4 linked regions of the Schizosaccharomyces pombe genome follow. Changing the gene in region 1 together with any one later gene gives a genetic interaction. Each region holds a gene or a part of one and is shown in the gene's direction. Other genes may lie near its edges.

Evidence for each region.
Region 2: mutations in gst1 (region 1) and rpp201 together harm fitness more than expected from each alone (negative genetic interaction), as found in Schizosaccharomyces pombe (one large-scale study listed by BioGRID).
Region 3: mutations in gst1 (region 1) and cpn1 together harm fitness less than expected from each alone (positive genetic interaction), as found in Schizosaccharomyces pombe (one large-scale study listed by BioGRID).
Region 4: mutations in gst1 (region 1) and amt2 together harm fitness less than expected from each alone (positive genetic interaction), as found in Schizosaccharomyces pombe (one large-scale study listed by BioGRID).

What each region holds. Positions count from the first base shown.
Region 1 is NC_003421.2:1,718,615-1,721,782, reverse strand, and holds gst1 (glutathione S-transferase Gst1), read left to right. Parts: upstream 1-1,712; 5' UTR 1,713-1,768; coding exon 1,769-2,458; 3' UTR 2,459-2,640; downstream 2,641-3,168. UniProt on the Schizosaccharomyces pombe protein: Involved in the oxidative stress response and detoxification.
Region 2 is NC_003423.3:3,641,572-3,644,224, forward strand, and holds rpp201 (ribosomal protein P2), read left to right. Parts: upstream 1-1,589; 5' UTR 1,590-1,617; coding exon 1,618-1,926; intron 1,927-1,989; coding exon 1,990-2,013; 3' UTR 2,014-2,082; downstream 2,083-2,653. Other genes in the region: nce103 (putative carbonic anhydrase), read right to left, coding at 1-379; histone lysine methyltransferase Set6, read right to left, coding at 2,247-2,653.
Region 3 is NC_003424.3:332,605-336,665, forward strand, and holds cpn1 (caprin), read left to right. Parts: upstream 1-2,012; 5' UTR 2,013-2,055; coding exon 2,056-2,178; intron 2,179-2,202; exon of another isoform or gene 2,203-2,225; coding exon 2,226-3,341; 3' UTR 3,342-3,527; downstream 3,528-4,061. Other genes in the region: protein eti1, read right to left, coding at 1-139; nce101 (non-classical export protein 1), read left to right, coding at 610-635, 687-837; mrpl6 (mitochondrial 54S ribosomal protein uL6m), read right to left, coding at 1,091-1,732; rcl1 (rRNA processing protein), read left to right, coding at 3,824-4,061.
Region 4 is NC_003424.3:1,729,173-1,733,796, forward strand, and holds amt2 (plasma membrane ammonium transmembrane transporter Amt2), read left to right. Parts: upstream 1-1,896; 5' UTR 1,897-2,454; coding exon 2,455-3,993; 3' UTR 3,994-4,096; downstream 4,097-4,624. Other genes in the region: SPOM_SPAC664.13 (uncharacterized protein), read left to right, coding at 333-686. UniProt on the Schizosaccharomyces pombe protein: Transporter for ammonium to use as a nitrogen source.

The sequences.
Region 1 (3,168 bases):
AAAAATTTTTAATTCTGAAATCTATCAGCAACTCCCTTAAACTCAAAATATCGATTCCTTTATCTTGAGGAGCGATGGATGGGCTAGAAATTTTGATTCAATAGGTAGGTTTTTTTTTTTGCAATTGCATTAGTAACTGTTTGGAGGTAAATTGAAATAACAAGCATTACTTAAACCCTTTGCCTTTTTTTTTGAATCTTTTTTTTTAAAAGGAATCGTTTGTAGAGTACTTTGAAACTGCAGCCTTAATTCAACGTCTTCTTGACTACCTTTATTTTCCAAATTATGCGAACCTCGCTTGCATGCGACTATACAAAAAATAAGGAAACCAGTCTCGCATAAAATTAAATTTAATTTTAATCTTCAAAGCATCTCGATTTCGCGGACTAGGATCCTGGATAAATGCGTTGAAACTAAGCCGATGGGTTGTAAGAATATGGGAAAAGCTGCAATGTATCACATTGAATAGTCAATTGAAGGACATGGAGCTTTGAGCTTGTTGAATGAATAAAAGTTTTTGATGAATAAACGTTATTAGACATGATTGTATTTATCGGGTTTCGACTTTAAAAGTTCAATCAATTAATGAAAGACGTAAAAGCTGGACGTTTATTGAATAATCCAAAAAAGGTTATTTTTATATACTTTTAAAAAGAAAAAAAATAGTATTTAACGGATATAAACATGTATTGGTTCATGTACTTGCTTTACTCTGATCAAGTTGGTGTATGCTTTTTGGTTTCCATTGCTCTTTTTCTGATTATAATGCAAAATTACTCATCGTGTTTGCAGTTATGTTGAATAGCTTTAAAATTTACGTATCGTATTGTCAAGGTAGTAAATGTAAACAAAAAATTTTCATAGGGAATCATTACCAATTCGCTTACAGAAATTAAACATATTACACTCACTGTATGATGAAAAATAAAGTAGATTTCGAAATAAGATTATTAGAGTGAAGAGAATTTTAAATTGATATGTGAGAAACAAAACTCCGTCATAACTAATCTTTACAGTTGAAAATCCAATTGTGAATCCCTAGCATGTTTGAATTAATATGTGCAGTAGTCTAAAAGCAAGTTTGACACGTTGGTTTTTGAACAGGTGGTGAACAAAATAAATCTCGAGCGTATGGTTGAGACTATTTTATTATTTTTATATTAACTTTATCATAAGATGTCTATTCAACTGACTCGTAAATTCTGAAAACTACATGTCTTAAGAACCTGAAACAGTTTTAATTGCATTTGAATTTGGAATTGCATTAAGCCGACCCTTTAAGAAATTAAATATAACACTAAGCATACGTTTATTTCCCACAAGGATTATACATAGTTAAACAAAACGAGAAGTCAGTCCCCACGCACTATATGTTGGTAGAAATTTTACATGAAATTTTGATGCATTACAAGATTGATTAAATGTAGCGTGTAACCGGCTAACAGGATTCAAATGTATTAGTAAATGGAATCGGTAGTAGATTTATCTTTCTTTGATCACGTTTTGACATAAATCATAACTTCCGGCTTGTCGTCAGCTAATCGAGTAAAATTTAGTTGAATCCACGTATGAGTCTAATGTATGATCGATTAGTAAGTTGGATGAAATTGATCAACTCGATTTCGGGTGTTTTCCAAAATTTTTCATAAATATTGCATACGCAATGGAAGTAAGAATTGTATATAAAATGGTAAAGATGCTCTTTATATTTTAATCCATTGCCAAACTCCTTTCATTTAACAATAGAACACACTCAAAATAAAGTATCATGGCTCAATTCACTTTATGGTCGCATGCTCATGGTCCTAATCCATGGAAGGTGGTTCAAGCGCTGAAGGAGTTGGACCTTACCTATGAAACCAGATATGTGAATTTTTCAAAAAATGAGCAGAAATCCCCCGAACACTTAGCCTTAAACCCTAACGGTAGAGTACCTACCTTGATTGATCACCACAATAACGATTATACCATTTGGGAATCTGATGCCATTTTAATCTATTTAGCTGACAAATATGATACGGAAAGGAAGATATCTTTGCCTCGTGACCATCCTGAATACTACAAAGTTATACAATATTTATTTTTTCAAGCTTCTGGCCAAGGCATCATTTGGGGACAGGCTGGATGGTTTAGCGTCTATCATCAGGAGCTAGTCATATCTGCCATTACCCGTTATAGGAATGAAATCAAACGTGTTCTAGGAGTCCTCGAAGATATCCTTAAAGACCGTGATTATCTCGTGGCCAACCGGTTCACAATTGCTGACTTATCATTCATTTCATGGAATAACTTCCTTGAAATTATTTTTGCAGAAGGAAAGTTTTCAATCGAGGAAGAAGTGCCTCAGCTCGACTTTGAAAAAGAGTTTCCTAGAACTTATTCCTGGCATCAAAGACTTCTTGCCAGACCTGCTAGCAAGGCTACCTTCGAAGAAAGATCAAAGGCTTTGGATAATTAAGTGAATTTGTGGCGTCTATCTTGATAATAACGTTCCAATATTTCAATTGATTGATTGATTCTTTATATTTCAAAATTCATGCATTGTTTACTTTCCTTTATGCATATAGATATAGACTCAACTTTTTCGTTTCATACATCAATTGTTCAAGTGCTCTTTCAATAATATCATCTTTAAACTATGATTTTCTACTATACATTCCGAAAATATATACAAAGCAGACCATGTAACATCCATCGTATTGCTCTTGCTAAAATTGGTATTTATTGTTTGGAAAAGCCAATCATCAAAAGTAAAAAATATAAAATGAAAGAAGGGATAGCTGTAATCATGTCGAAATGACTTGAGGCGCTAATTTTATTTTATTTTTTTATTGTTACTATCTTTTTATTTTTCTTATACTACAAGACCTTTTTTATTTTTTTTTTTTAAATAATGTCGTCAATTTATTGAGAAAAGTTCAATGATTTTATTAAATTTTTAAGTAAATTATAAATATTATGTCTAAAACAAAAGCTCGAATAAATAATAATCAAATATTGTTTTCTTTATATGTTGGGCAGGCTTGTCTTATATTTTTTATTTTAATTATTCTGAATATTGTAAATAAGATGAATTCAAATACTCATGAACACAAATATAATGTAGGGTATGAAGAAGTGATTCATTATCGAATTTAGAAAGGTCCTAATATAAAAAACAAAGAGAAA
Region 2 (2,653 bases), on another chromosome or scaffold:
CCTTTAATACGGTCACGGAGTACTCCATAACAGCTAAAGCATTAATGTCAGAACGAGGAACGACATTGGCAATGTTTCGATGAACGAAGACTTCACCTGGAAGTAAATTCAGAATGGTGGTCTCAGGAACACGAGAATCTGAACATCCGATCCAAAGAACTTGAGGAGTTTGAATATCTTTGGTGGCTGTAAAAAAGGATGGGTACTTTCTGCTAGTTTGTTGTGACCAAGTCAGATTGCGTTCAAGCAAATCTTTGATTTCCCCATTCTGGTCAATTTTACCAGCGCCAGAAACGGGAGAAGCGGTTGAAGCTTCTCTGTCGATTATCTCGTCTTGATGATCGATTTCCTCAATACGACGTTTCAATCTATCAGGCATTTTCTTTTTTTTATCACTTTTCTCTAACAATTGACTAGACGAAAAAAACAATCTTTTTCTTCCAAGCGATGAAAAAGATATGGATTGTAAACAACTATTATAATTACAAGGAAAACGAATGAATCTCGATGTTAACCGCGGAGCCGCTATTATCGAGTAGCTGCTACTTTTTATTTGGTTAAAGGTAGACTGGAGTATGGTTTTTGGAAGCGGAATTTTTGTAGTTGTCAAAGCACCGAATGGTGGGAGCATGATACGTTTTTATACCACACGACAAAAATGGAAACGTTTGTGATGTGAGCAAAGCTATGATGATGAACTTTGATGTATAGCTAATACTCCGATAACAAGCCGTCCCGTCCGTCGAGTAGGTAAGGTTTATTGGTTTATCTATTATATAATGTAATTTATTTTGCTAGATCTTTGCAAGGGACTACCTACGGATAGTTTTGACGGCTTCGCAGTTAACAAAAAACCGGATACGATTGGCTTAAAATTGCAAATTGTCCCAAATATGAATAAAATGTTGACAGCCATAAAGATTTCGCAACCGTGCGAAATTTTTTTTTTCTAAACACAAAATTATTGGAGAAGAATCCGTCATTTATCAATTACGAGTATATCGTCTTATCGTTATACGTGTTTTCGATTAAGTTAATCTAAAATTAAATTAAGCGATAATTAGGTTTTGTAGATTGAAACATTTGTTAACATGGGCACCGCTGACATTACTATAAAAAAAGACGAAAAAAAAACAATTGCCCATTGTTACCCATAATAGGAGGAATGAAATGAAAGTAAAGACAATTGAGAAAATTTATTCAATAGCTTATACAGCTATTTCAAGTCTCGGCCAGTAAGTTAAGCACTTGAAGTTATATTTAAACCGTCAGTTTACCAAACATTAATATGTTTGTTTCAATTCCCATTGATAAACTCAAATACGTGTATGACATTAATTATGCCTCTTTGTGCATACGGTTTTCTTACTATTATAAAAATAATTAGCACGCCCTTAACTAACAACTATTTAGGTTGATTTGAACTTGTAGAAAAAGCTTGTAAATATCGTGCTCGTCAACTAAACGAATATAACAAACCTTAGAAATCATCGCAGCATTCCACTCAAACACATACCCTAACCTAACTCGAAAACCAGTCACAAAAGTTTCGAGTCCCTTAGTGTTGTGAATGCTTAATACTTTCTGCCATCAACACGCACTGCACTCCTCGTCAAAATGAAGTACCTTGCAGCTTATTTACTCTTGACCGTTGGTGGAAAGGACTCCCCTTCCGCTTCTGATATCGAGTCTGTTTTGTCTACTGTCGGTATTGAAGCTGAATCTGAGCGCATTGAAACTTTGATCAACGAGCTTAACGGTAAGGATATCGACGAGCTCATCGCTGCTGGTAACGAGAAGCTTGCTACTGTCCCCACTGGTGGTGCTGCTTCTGCTGCTCCTGCCGCCGCTGCTGGCGGTGCTGCCCCTGCTGCTGAGGAGGCTGCTAAGGAGGAAGCCAAGGAAGAGGAGGAATCTGATGAAGACGTAAGTTAATTTTAGATAAGAAGCATTCTTTGTTTCTCAAAAGCATCTTACTAACAATTTTAGATGGGTTTCGGTCTTTTCGACTAAACCAAATGATCCCTTGTTTTCATTACGCTTTCATAAAAATAAATCGCCGTGTTGGTTTTATTTTACCAATTTTTTTTTAGTGCTCCATTCGTAATAGTATTTTTCGTTTGATAAATGTAATTTTAGCTTACTTTAAATGTTAATGTACCACTGGTGCCCCGTGTTGTTGATTTGAATATAAGAGACTTTACACTTGTAAAGCAAGTCGTTGTTTCGAGAATAATAAATTTTATTTAGTATGTTACTAGGAAGTCTTTACAAGCGGCCCATAATTTTTCTTCAAATGCTTTCAAATTGTTTTGAACATGAAGCATGCAATAGTCTTTACAAACCTCAAATATTTCTTTAATGTCATTTTCCACATTTGAACAAAATGTGGTCGAAGGATGACTTATTCTAACTGCTTGCTGTAGCCTTTGAGCCCTATCTAAAAGCCACAAAACAAAATCATCAAGGGAAATAGAATAGCGGCCCAAAATACAGTGGTGTAACCCTCCAAATGATGGTATATTCTTCAATAAAAATAACGAGTTATTGGTAGGTACAGTCTGCTGAGGTTGAGAGCTGGACGGGAACTCCATCTCCAAAGGTTTGTCATTAGGAAACATTAAATGCTTTACTTCCATAGCCACTTGCTTTC
Region 3 (4,061 bases), on another chromosome or scaffold:
AGTCAAGTAGAATGCTATCATCAGGAGTTCCATGGTTCATTGAGGATTCCGATAATGCCGAAAAAAAAAGTTCATTACTTTCGTCAACGAACGATCCGAGATTTGTTTCATTAATTGATTTTTCTTTATAAAATGACATATTAACAACGATGGTTGTTTATGTAGTGCGCTTTGTTTGCACTCTACATGTACTGGGCTTTTGTTAGTGGGCAAGTTCGAATTTTCGCTAATATTAAAAATAAGGAGGAAGCAATTTAGGGAAATACATTCGTCAAACTTCATCTTAGAATTTAATACTCACATTTTTATTAAGTTTCTCAAAAGAATGTGAGAATGCAACTATTAATTATTTAAGAAACAGAAACATAAATAAAAGCATTCTCAAATTTTTAATAAAAAGCGAGCTTTAAATTTGACAAAATGACTCTAATATCAGTTTATTACTACGATAAAAAGGATGTATGATGGATATATCTAGGTATTTGCTCAATGCGGCCCATATACTTCATTAGGCTACTACATATTTCCAACCTTACAGTCTCACTACTACTATTGATTAAAAGTAATCAGCTAGCCACGTAAAAGAGAAGAAGTCATTTCAAAAAGAAGATGTCTCAACCCTATTTAATTTCTAAGTAAGATTGTAAGAAGACTCGGTTCATTATATTAACATGTTACTTAAACAGATGGATGGATCCTTTGTTTGGAATCTTCGTCGGTACTTATGGTTATTATTTGTATGAAAAAGAGCATCGTCCCCGAGGAAGAAGCTTACGAGAACTTGCATTGCGTAAATGGAATAAACAGGCAGTTTCACAACAATCCATGAAAAACTGAGGTCAGACATTCCGTAAAGGACTGTTCTAGGAGGCAAAGGGTGTCGAGCGAATGATGATTTTATATTTTTATTCATTGAATAACATTTCCTTTTGTACGTTTATACGCTACTAACAGTCTGTGACAATTTTTACTGCAATGTGATTTAATAAGTGTTTGTAAGAAATGAGTTTGTATAGTGAATTTGCACAAGGTGTATGCCAGATGGAAAATTGAAATATGAGAATGTACTGCATAATGAAATCCAAAGAACTCATGATATGCTCCGTTTAGCTTTTAACTGCGGTTTTTCCCCATCAACATAAATCCCCTTCCCTTTATACGGCTCGGGCTTTTTAAACGATCGAATTTTTGCTGCAAACTGTGTGACTTTTTGTCGATCAATTCCACGAAGTACCAAGCTGGTTGGCGTTGGATTCTCAACTTGTACATCAGTAGGGATAGAGACCAAAATGTCGTTTGCATAACCTATTTTTAAATGAATATTTCCATCGTTTAGAGAAGTCCGATACCCGATACCAACCAATTTGATAATAGATTGCCAGTACATAGTTACTCCCTTTACATTATTAGCTAGGATAGCCCTAGTAGTGCCCCACATTGCACGTTGCTTTTTAGTAGCTTGCTTTTCTATATTGGCATCCATTCCTACTTTTAGGATGTCATTAGTTTTCGAGAGATTGAGATAATTTGGAAATCTCATGTTAAGTGTTCCATGAGGTCCAGTAATCTGTAGTTGTTCCCCCTCCAAATCAAACTGGATATTTTTTGGAACAATGATTTCTTTTTTTCCAACGTATGATCTAGCAGCTGAACATGTCGTGAAGTTCATACCAAGACGAGCAATTCGAAAAGTTAAGGGCCTTGTTTTCAAGCAACTATCAATAGAAAACATAATTTTATAAATCAAAATAATTCAGTTTTCAAATATATTAGTAAAGGATGCTAGAAAAATTGACTTCGAAATTCGCTAATATCAAATTCTAATAAAAACACGTATTCTTTCTATTCGATTTTTTTTTTTGTGAGATAGCTTAAAATAAATTGTTCCTATTATTAGGGATTAAGACTGCCAAAAGTGTTTGCGGATTTTTAAAGTCAATGTTTGACGATGTGGATACTTAGTAGGTTCATCATGTAGGGTGGCAGCCATGTGGCACGTCAACCAAACTTGCGAAGAACCAACCTGTGGGATAAAAGCGAGAAAAGAAAAAAACCATGCCAAGCCAGGGAAACAATAAAAATAGTGAAAACATCACCCAAAACCCTATAGAGGGAGAACTCGGAAGCGTTATTGTGGAGCATTTAACCAAGCGCATTCGTAACTTTACGAAAAAGAAGGTAAGATCATTTATTAAATTGGGCGTTAAAACTTACTAAATCTGTAGCAAAAAATTCTAAAGCTTGAAGAAATAGCTGCTAGCGATTCCAATTCTCTCAATGATGATCAACGAAAAGCATTACAAGGTAAAGATGCTGTATTGACGACATTGAATGAGTTGAAGGAGTTGTTAAGCCAAATAGATGCTACAAGGATCCGTGATGAAAAACACAAGCGTCAGTTTGAGGCGACCGAAAATGCTAAAAGGAAAGAAGAGATTGAAGCACAATACCGCGAAGGATATGACACCGCTCAAAAGCAAGTCTCAAGTTTGGTCCGTTTTCTACGATTTGCAAGCCATAATTGTGTTCATCCTTCAGATGATGCGCCTTTCAATTCAGCTGTTGAAAAGTTATTGGTGATTGTGTATGAGGGTACCGAGAAATCTGAAAAAGCTGTTGCTGATTTGAACGACTCGTCAACAGACGTTGTACCTGAAAGTGAAGTGTCCTTTCAGACGATTTCATCTAGAGTTGATAATTTTTTCGCTGCTCCTTTGCCTAGTGAACAGGCTGAGGAACTTATCGAAGATGATTATGCGGAGCAACCAGAGCAAGCAGTTGGTCAACCCATTGAGCAACAGAGTATTAGTGATGACGAAGCCCGTCAAACTAATCGACCACTTAACCGTGGCATTCAGTTTTTAAATGAGAGCGAAATTGAAGGACAGCATGTTGAGGAACCCGCTCTCCCCAGTGAAACATCTGTTCCTGCTAATTCTACTCTTCAGGTTCCTACTGAAAATGTTGAAGTAGATGTTTTGGGCAAAGATGGGACCAATATTTATCCCACGCAAAATCAAGTTGTTGAACAAAAACAAATGCAGCAAAAATTGGATTCAATGTCACCAGAATGGTATCAAGCAGCTGATCCTAGCAATGGAGTCGTAGATGGAACACCCAAATTAAATTCCAATACCAGAGGATCTTCAAAACGCCCTTCTGTCAACCGTTCCCAAGGAAGTGGTCAACGTGGTCGAGGTGGACGAGGATTTTATCGCGGAGGTCGTGGCCGTGGAGGATTTTTTAATCGCTCAAAGCGAGGTCAGTATTCCAACAGTAATAACTCAACCTCGCAACCTAGTCCTAACGCTGAGCTATCCAATTTCAATCCCGTAGCCTAAAACGCTTTTACCGCATATATTAACGTTTCACTTTTTTAATGTTTCAGAGGTTTTTGTATCATTCTTTCCTCTAGTGTTCTCTGGCATTTTAAAAAAGTATTTATATATTACCAAAACTCTCAAAGCATAAAATCAATCATCGTTTTATTGCTTTTTATGTTCTAGAAATAAAATTACTTGATTTTATTAATGTGTTAAATATTATATAAGAAAGTATATTTCTTTCTTTTAGTAGTAAAAACAGTTAATTTTTTAAAAAATACAGTACTTTTTTTATTGTTTACATTTATTTAGTAAACAAGTAGCTTTACGGTTACCACGGCAACTCCTAGCTGAGAGGTCAATTCTACCTCTTGCGCTGTAGAAATTCTTTTACCAAAACTAAAAATTTCCTGTAAAGGAATTGAAATATCAAAGTCTCGAAAAACGCGTTTTTAAAATAATTCGGGGCTTTGCATTCATTTTGAATTGTTAAACTCGTGATGTCAACCGGTCAGCTCAAACGCTTTAAAGGATGTGAGTATTTGACGCATCGGTTAGTCCTTGCAACTCTCTCGGGAACTCCGATTCGAGTTGAAGGAATTTACCCAGATGAAGCCGATCCTGGTGTCAAAGATTACCAGGTTTCGTTTTTAAGGCTGTTGGAGAAGTTGACCAATGGCAGTGTCATAGAAATTTCTTACACAGGTACTTCGTTCATATATCGCCCAGGAAATATTA
Region 4 (4,624 bases), on another chromosome or scaffold:
AAATACTATATTGTGTATTAGGTTCAAAAGTTGAGATTATCAAATAAAACCCTTTTACTTATTGAAATGGGAATTACAGATGTAAAGTAGCAAATGGTGATGTTACTTCTTTCTTAGAGATAGGAAGGCCACGGGATTAGCAGTAAAGGATAGCGAATTTGTTGAAATTTTGACTTATACAAGACCCCATTTTGCATATATAAATTATTTGGTAAAGTTCTCTTCTTCACTCAGTTGATTTTTCGCGATTCCCTTTGAAATTTTGTGAAATATTGTAGTTTGAAATTTATACTCGAAATTGGCTTGTCTGGAGGTTCCAGTATAAAGAGAGTATGGATTTGGAGGAGCTTCAAAAGATTATTCAAGAAGAGCAAATTCGCTGTGAGAGAGAAATCGCAGAGGCTGCAGAAGCACGTAATTCTTCTAATAGTCTTATTGTAGTTGATGAATATTCCAAGGAAAGCGAAGATGTTCTAGAAAATGGGTTAGAACACGTTCAGTCTAATGAATTCACCGAATCTGAAGATTATAAATCCATTGAGCGCTCTTTGGCTGTCACAGAAGCTGTTATGGCTCGCTTTGAAAAAGAAATGGGTTCATTACGGGATCAAATGAATTTCTTTCATCAAATACTCGATAATGACAACCTCGATGGTTTCCTTACTGGATCCAGCAAACCTTGCTAGATTTATTTGCGAATGGGAATGACTATAGAATTAGCTCAATCCTGTATGCTTCCTGCTACTCTTTCATATAGGTTTAAAGAATCCTTTCGTTTGAAGAGACATGGCAAGTTACGTTTTTTATTCCTTCCTACCATCCTTTGTACACTTAGCATCAAACTCATTAAAATGAACCAATCCACTTGGTCTGTAAACCTAACAAGGCTTGTGTGAAGCTTTAAATAACGTAAAAGAGAAAGAATAACTTAAAAAAATGCAGCTAGAAAAACAGAGAAGCAAGAAATGGATACCTTCTAGTTTACTATTTTGCGCAACTAGATACTCTGTTGCTGCTATTTGAAGAGGCAGTAAGCACGCATAGTTGTTCTTTATTTTTGCATTTTTTTAATCTCATTTTGTAATGAAATAAAGATAATTAAATGGTTTTCTTCTCTTTCACACGTGTCTATGCCTCAGCTTCCATTCCGTGGCATTTTTTTGACGGGTCGACTGCCGACAATACTGAGCAACAAATCCAGGGTGAAAGCTGCTTACTATTCAACTTTAAACGAATCTATAACCCACCGTTTAGATATTGATAGAATTTGGTTATCCAGCTATCAGTTACATTTGCAGTTTATCGCCTATCTCTTCATACTTAAATTTGCATAAGGTTGTTATCTCAACTATCGTTCTGTGGAGAATAATCCAGATCTGAAAGTTACTTGTTTACATTTTCTGTTGAATTACTAAAAATTTTTTTTTGCTACATTCACTGTCTTAGAGGCGCTGTTCCATCCTATTTTACTTATAAACTTACTGTTTTCAAGGCAAAACTACATTTCGTGTGTCGTTGCTGTCTGTACATTAAATCTACCCGGGGGAAGGAGTTGAATGGAAAAGGAGGCCATGCTCCACAATAGTTAAATAGCTGTGTTGAAAATCCATTTAACTGAAAGGCAAACTCGTACATTGTTGTGACGATGCCGGTCTTTCTCATCTATTCCCATCTCAAAAAAGTAACAACCTTCTGTGAACGAATTTTTTTTCCCGAGTCATCCGTTACAGCTTCGGATAGAAAAACCATCACTACCTTGTAGTTAAAAAACATTTATTTAAAAAAGAAATTATCCGCTATCTACCTGGTTTTTTTTACTCGTGCTGGAAGTCGCCTCTGTGTGCCCCCGTTATTTACTACTGACATATATAGCGATTTTCGGTGAGCGTCAAACACAACTTCTTCCCCAAACAGCGCCATTGTCAATTTCACGAATTTTTGAATGTTTGGGATTGTGGAAGTCGACATCGTTTCTTGAGATTATACTACTTGTAAAAGTGCTGTTTACATCTAGTCACTCGAAGTTTTGATTCGTTTGAGAAATTGCTGAAGATTATATCTCGATCTTGACTTAAATTCAAGAGAAAATAGTGTTTTTTTTTAATAAATGCTAGAATATTTATCCATTTCCCTTGGATATTTTACTTTTTTTTCTTTTTGAAAATATAGATCAGATCATTGATTTTCTGTTTTAAGAGTTCCCCTTTTACGTAACAACTTCCTTTTTGGTTAAATCATATTAAGTATTTTTAACCATCACTGATTCTAGTGTCTGAATCAATTACTAATAGTCTTATTACTGTGCTTTGCTTCTTTGTTGACCAAAAAGTTTTATAACTCAGAATCTTTAGGACCTTTCCAATCCAATTTAACATTTAATCATTTTTAAATCCCTCTCTTAATTTCAAAGGTATAAAAAAGAAAGAAAAAATTTTTTCTAAAAAATTCGTTGCCATGTCGTCAGTGAATTCAATTCCCACAGCAACTTCTACTGTTTATATTTCAGTACTGCCAGCTACAGCTACACCTAGTGGTGGTAGTGGTGGAAATGTTTTGCACGAAGATCTTAATAAATTTTATGATTATGGAAACACTAGTTGGATTTTAGCTTGTACTCCATTGTGTCTTATTATGGTGCCTGGTGTGGCTTTTTTCTACTCTGGCTTAGCAAGAAGGAAAAATACATTGGCTCTTATCATGCTCTCTATGCTTGGTTTATGTGTTAGTTTTTTCCAATGGTATTTCTGGGGTTATTCTCTTGCTTTTTCTCAAACTGGAACCTCTGGTTATATTGGCAATCTTCGTCATTTTGCCTTTATTCGCACACTTGCCGATTACTCTCCTGGTAGCAATAATATTCCCGAGCTTGTATTTGCAAATTTTCAAGGAATGTTCGCCGCAATTACTGTAGCCCTCTTCACTGGTGCCGCCGCTGAAAGAGGTCGTATTGGTCCAATGCTCATCATCACATTTGTGTGGCTCACTGTCGTTTATTGTCCCATAGCGTGTTGGATTTGGAATCCAAATGGTTGGGCTTTTAAATTTGGTGTATACGATTTCGCTGGCGGAGGACCTGTAGAAGTTGGATCAGGATTTGCAGCTTTGGCGTATACGGTTTGTTTAGGACGTCGATCCAAATTTGTTGAGGAACAATTTCGCCCTCATTCTGTGCTCAATGTTGTATTGGGAACATCTCTGCTATGGTTTGGTTGGCTTGGTTTCAACGGTGGTAGTGCTTACGGCTCCAATCTGCGAGCCGCTATGGCAATCACCAACACAAACTTAGCAGGTGCTGTAGCTGGTTTAGTATGGGTTATTTACGACTACATTTTTCGCACTAGGAAATGGTCAACCATAGGTTTTTGTTCCGGGGTTGTTGCCGGTTTGGTGGCTGCAACGCCTTGTGCTGGTTTTGTGAGTCCTCATGCCTCTTTGGCAATTGGTGCTATTACTGGCTTATGTTGCAATTGGGCCATTAAGTTAAAGTCACATATGCGCATTGATGATGCGATGGATATTTTCGCTATCCACGGTGTTGCGGGTTTTGTGGGTACCTTTTTGAATGGTTTGTTTGCCGTTGATTATATCGCAGCAATGGATGGTATTTATGTTGGTGAAAACAAAATCAGAGGTGGTTGGTTTGATCACCATTGGCGCCAACTAGGCTTGCAAATGGCCTATATTTGTGCTGTTGGTGCATACGACTTTGTTGTCACGTTTATCATTTTATTCATTACGGACAAAATTCCCTACCTTCAACTTCGAGTGAGCCCTGATGCTGAAGAAATTGGTGTGGATGCTGATCAAATAGGTGAATACGCGTTTGATTATATTGAAGAACGTCGTGAATATAAGCATTGGAAGATTTCCCCTGCCGGTGTACCTGAAGAAATCATTATTTCCAATGGCGTTGCTCAACCTACTGGAAATGTGGCTGCTCCCGGCAAGATTCTAGAATCAACAAACCCATTGGAGCTTGGACTTACGATCTAAATCTTTTTGCATCGTACAAAGTTATTTGGGTTTAAAAAAAAAAAGTAAAAGGTTGAATTGGAGAAAAGATTTTAAGTTAATAAAAGAAATGAAAATTTTGGTAGATTGGTTTATGATTGTTTAAAGAAAAAAAGAAAATAGCACAACTACAAGGTCGCTGTTTGGGAAGTTTTGAACAAAATTACAAAGACTAGAAATTTCTTGAAAGATTTGCTTGTTTTTACTTCTAAAGAGGTCAGAATCTTAAATTATAATTTTAAGGTTTTTTTTTTGTTAACAGCATTTAAAATGAATTCGGTTTAAAGGCAAGACTAATAATTGTAATGAAAATATTTTTATGCGAATTTGGTTTGTAATTTGTGTATCCAAATATGAAGAGAATTAATTATCTTATAAGCCAAAAGATTTAAAATGAGCAAGTCAATCTTTGTTTCCAGTCATAATAAGTTTGTATTTTGTATAATCATCATTCACCATGAAACCAATGAATAGGTACAAAAAAGTACGTCGAATTAGGCTTTAATAACTATTTACTGTTTACGAATTTACCGGAAGTGAAAACCTCACTACTGCATCGAAACAAAAAATAAAAAGTAAACTCCCACTGCGAGACTCGAACTCGCAACCTTCC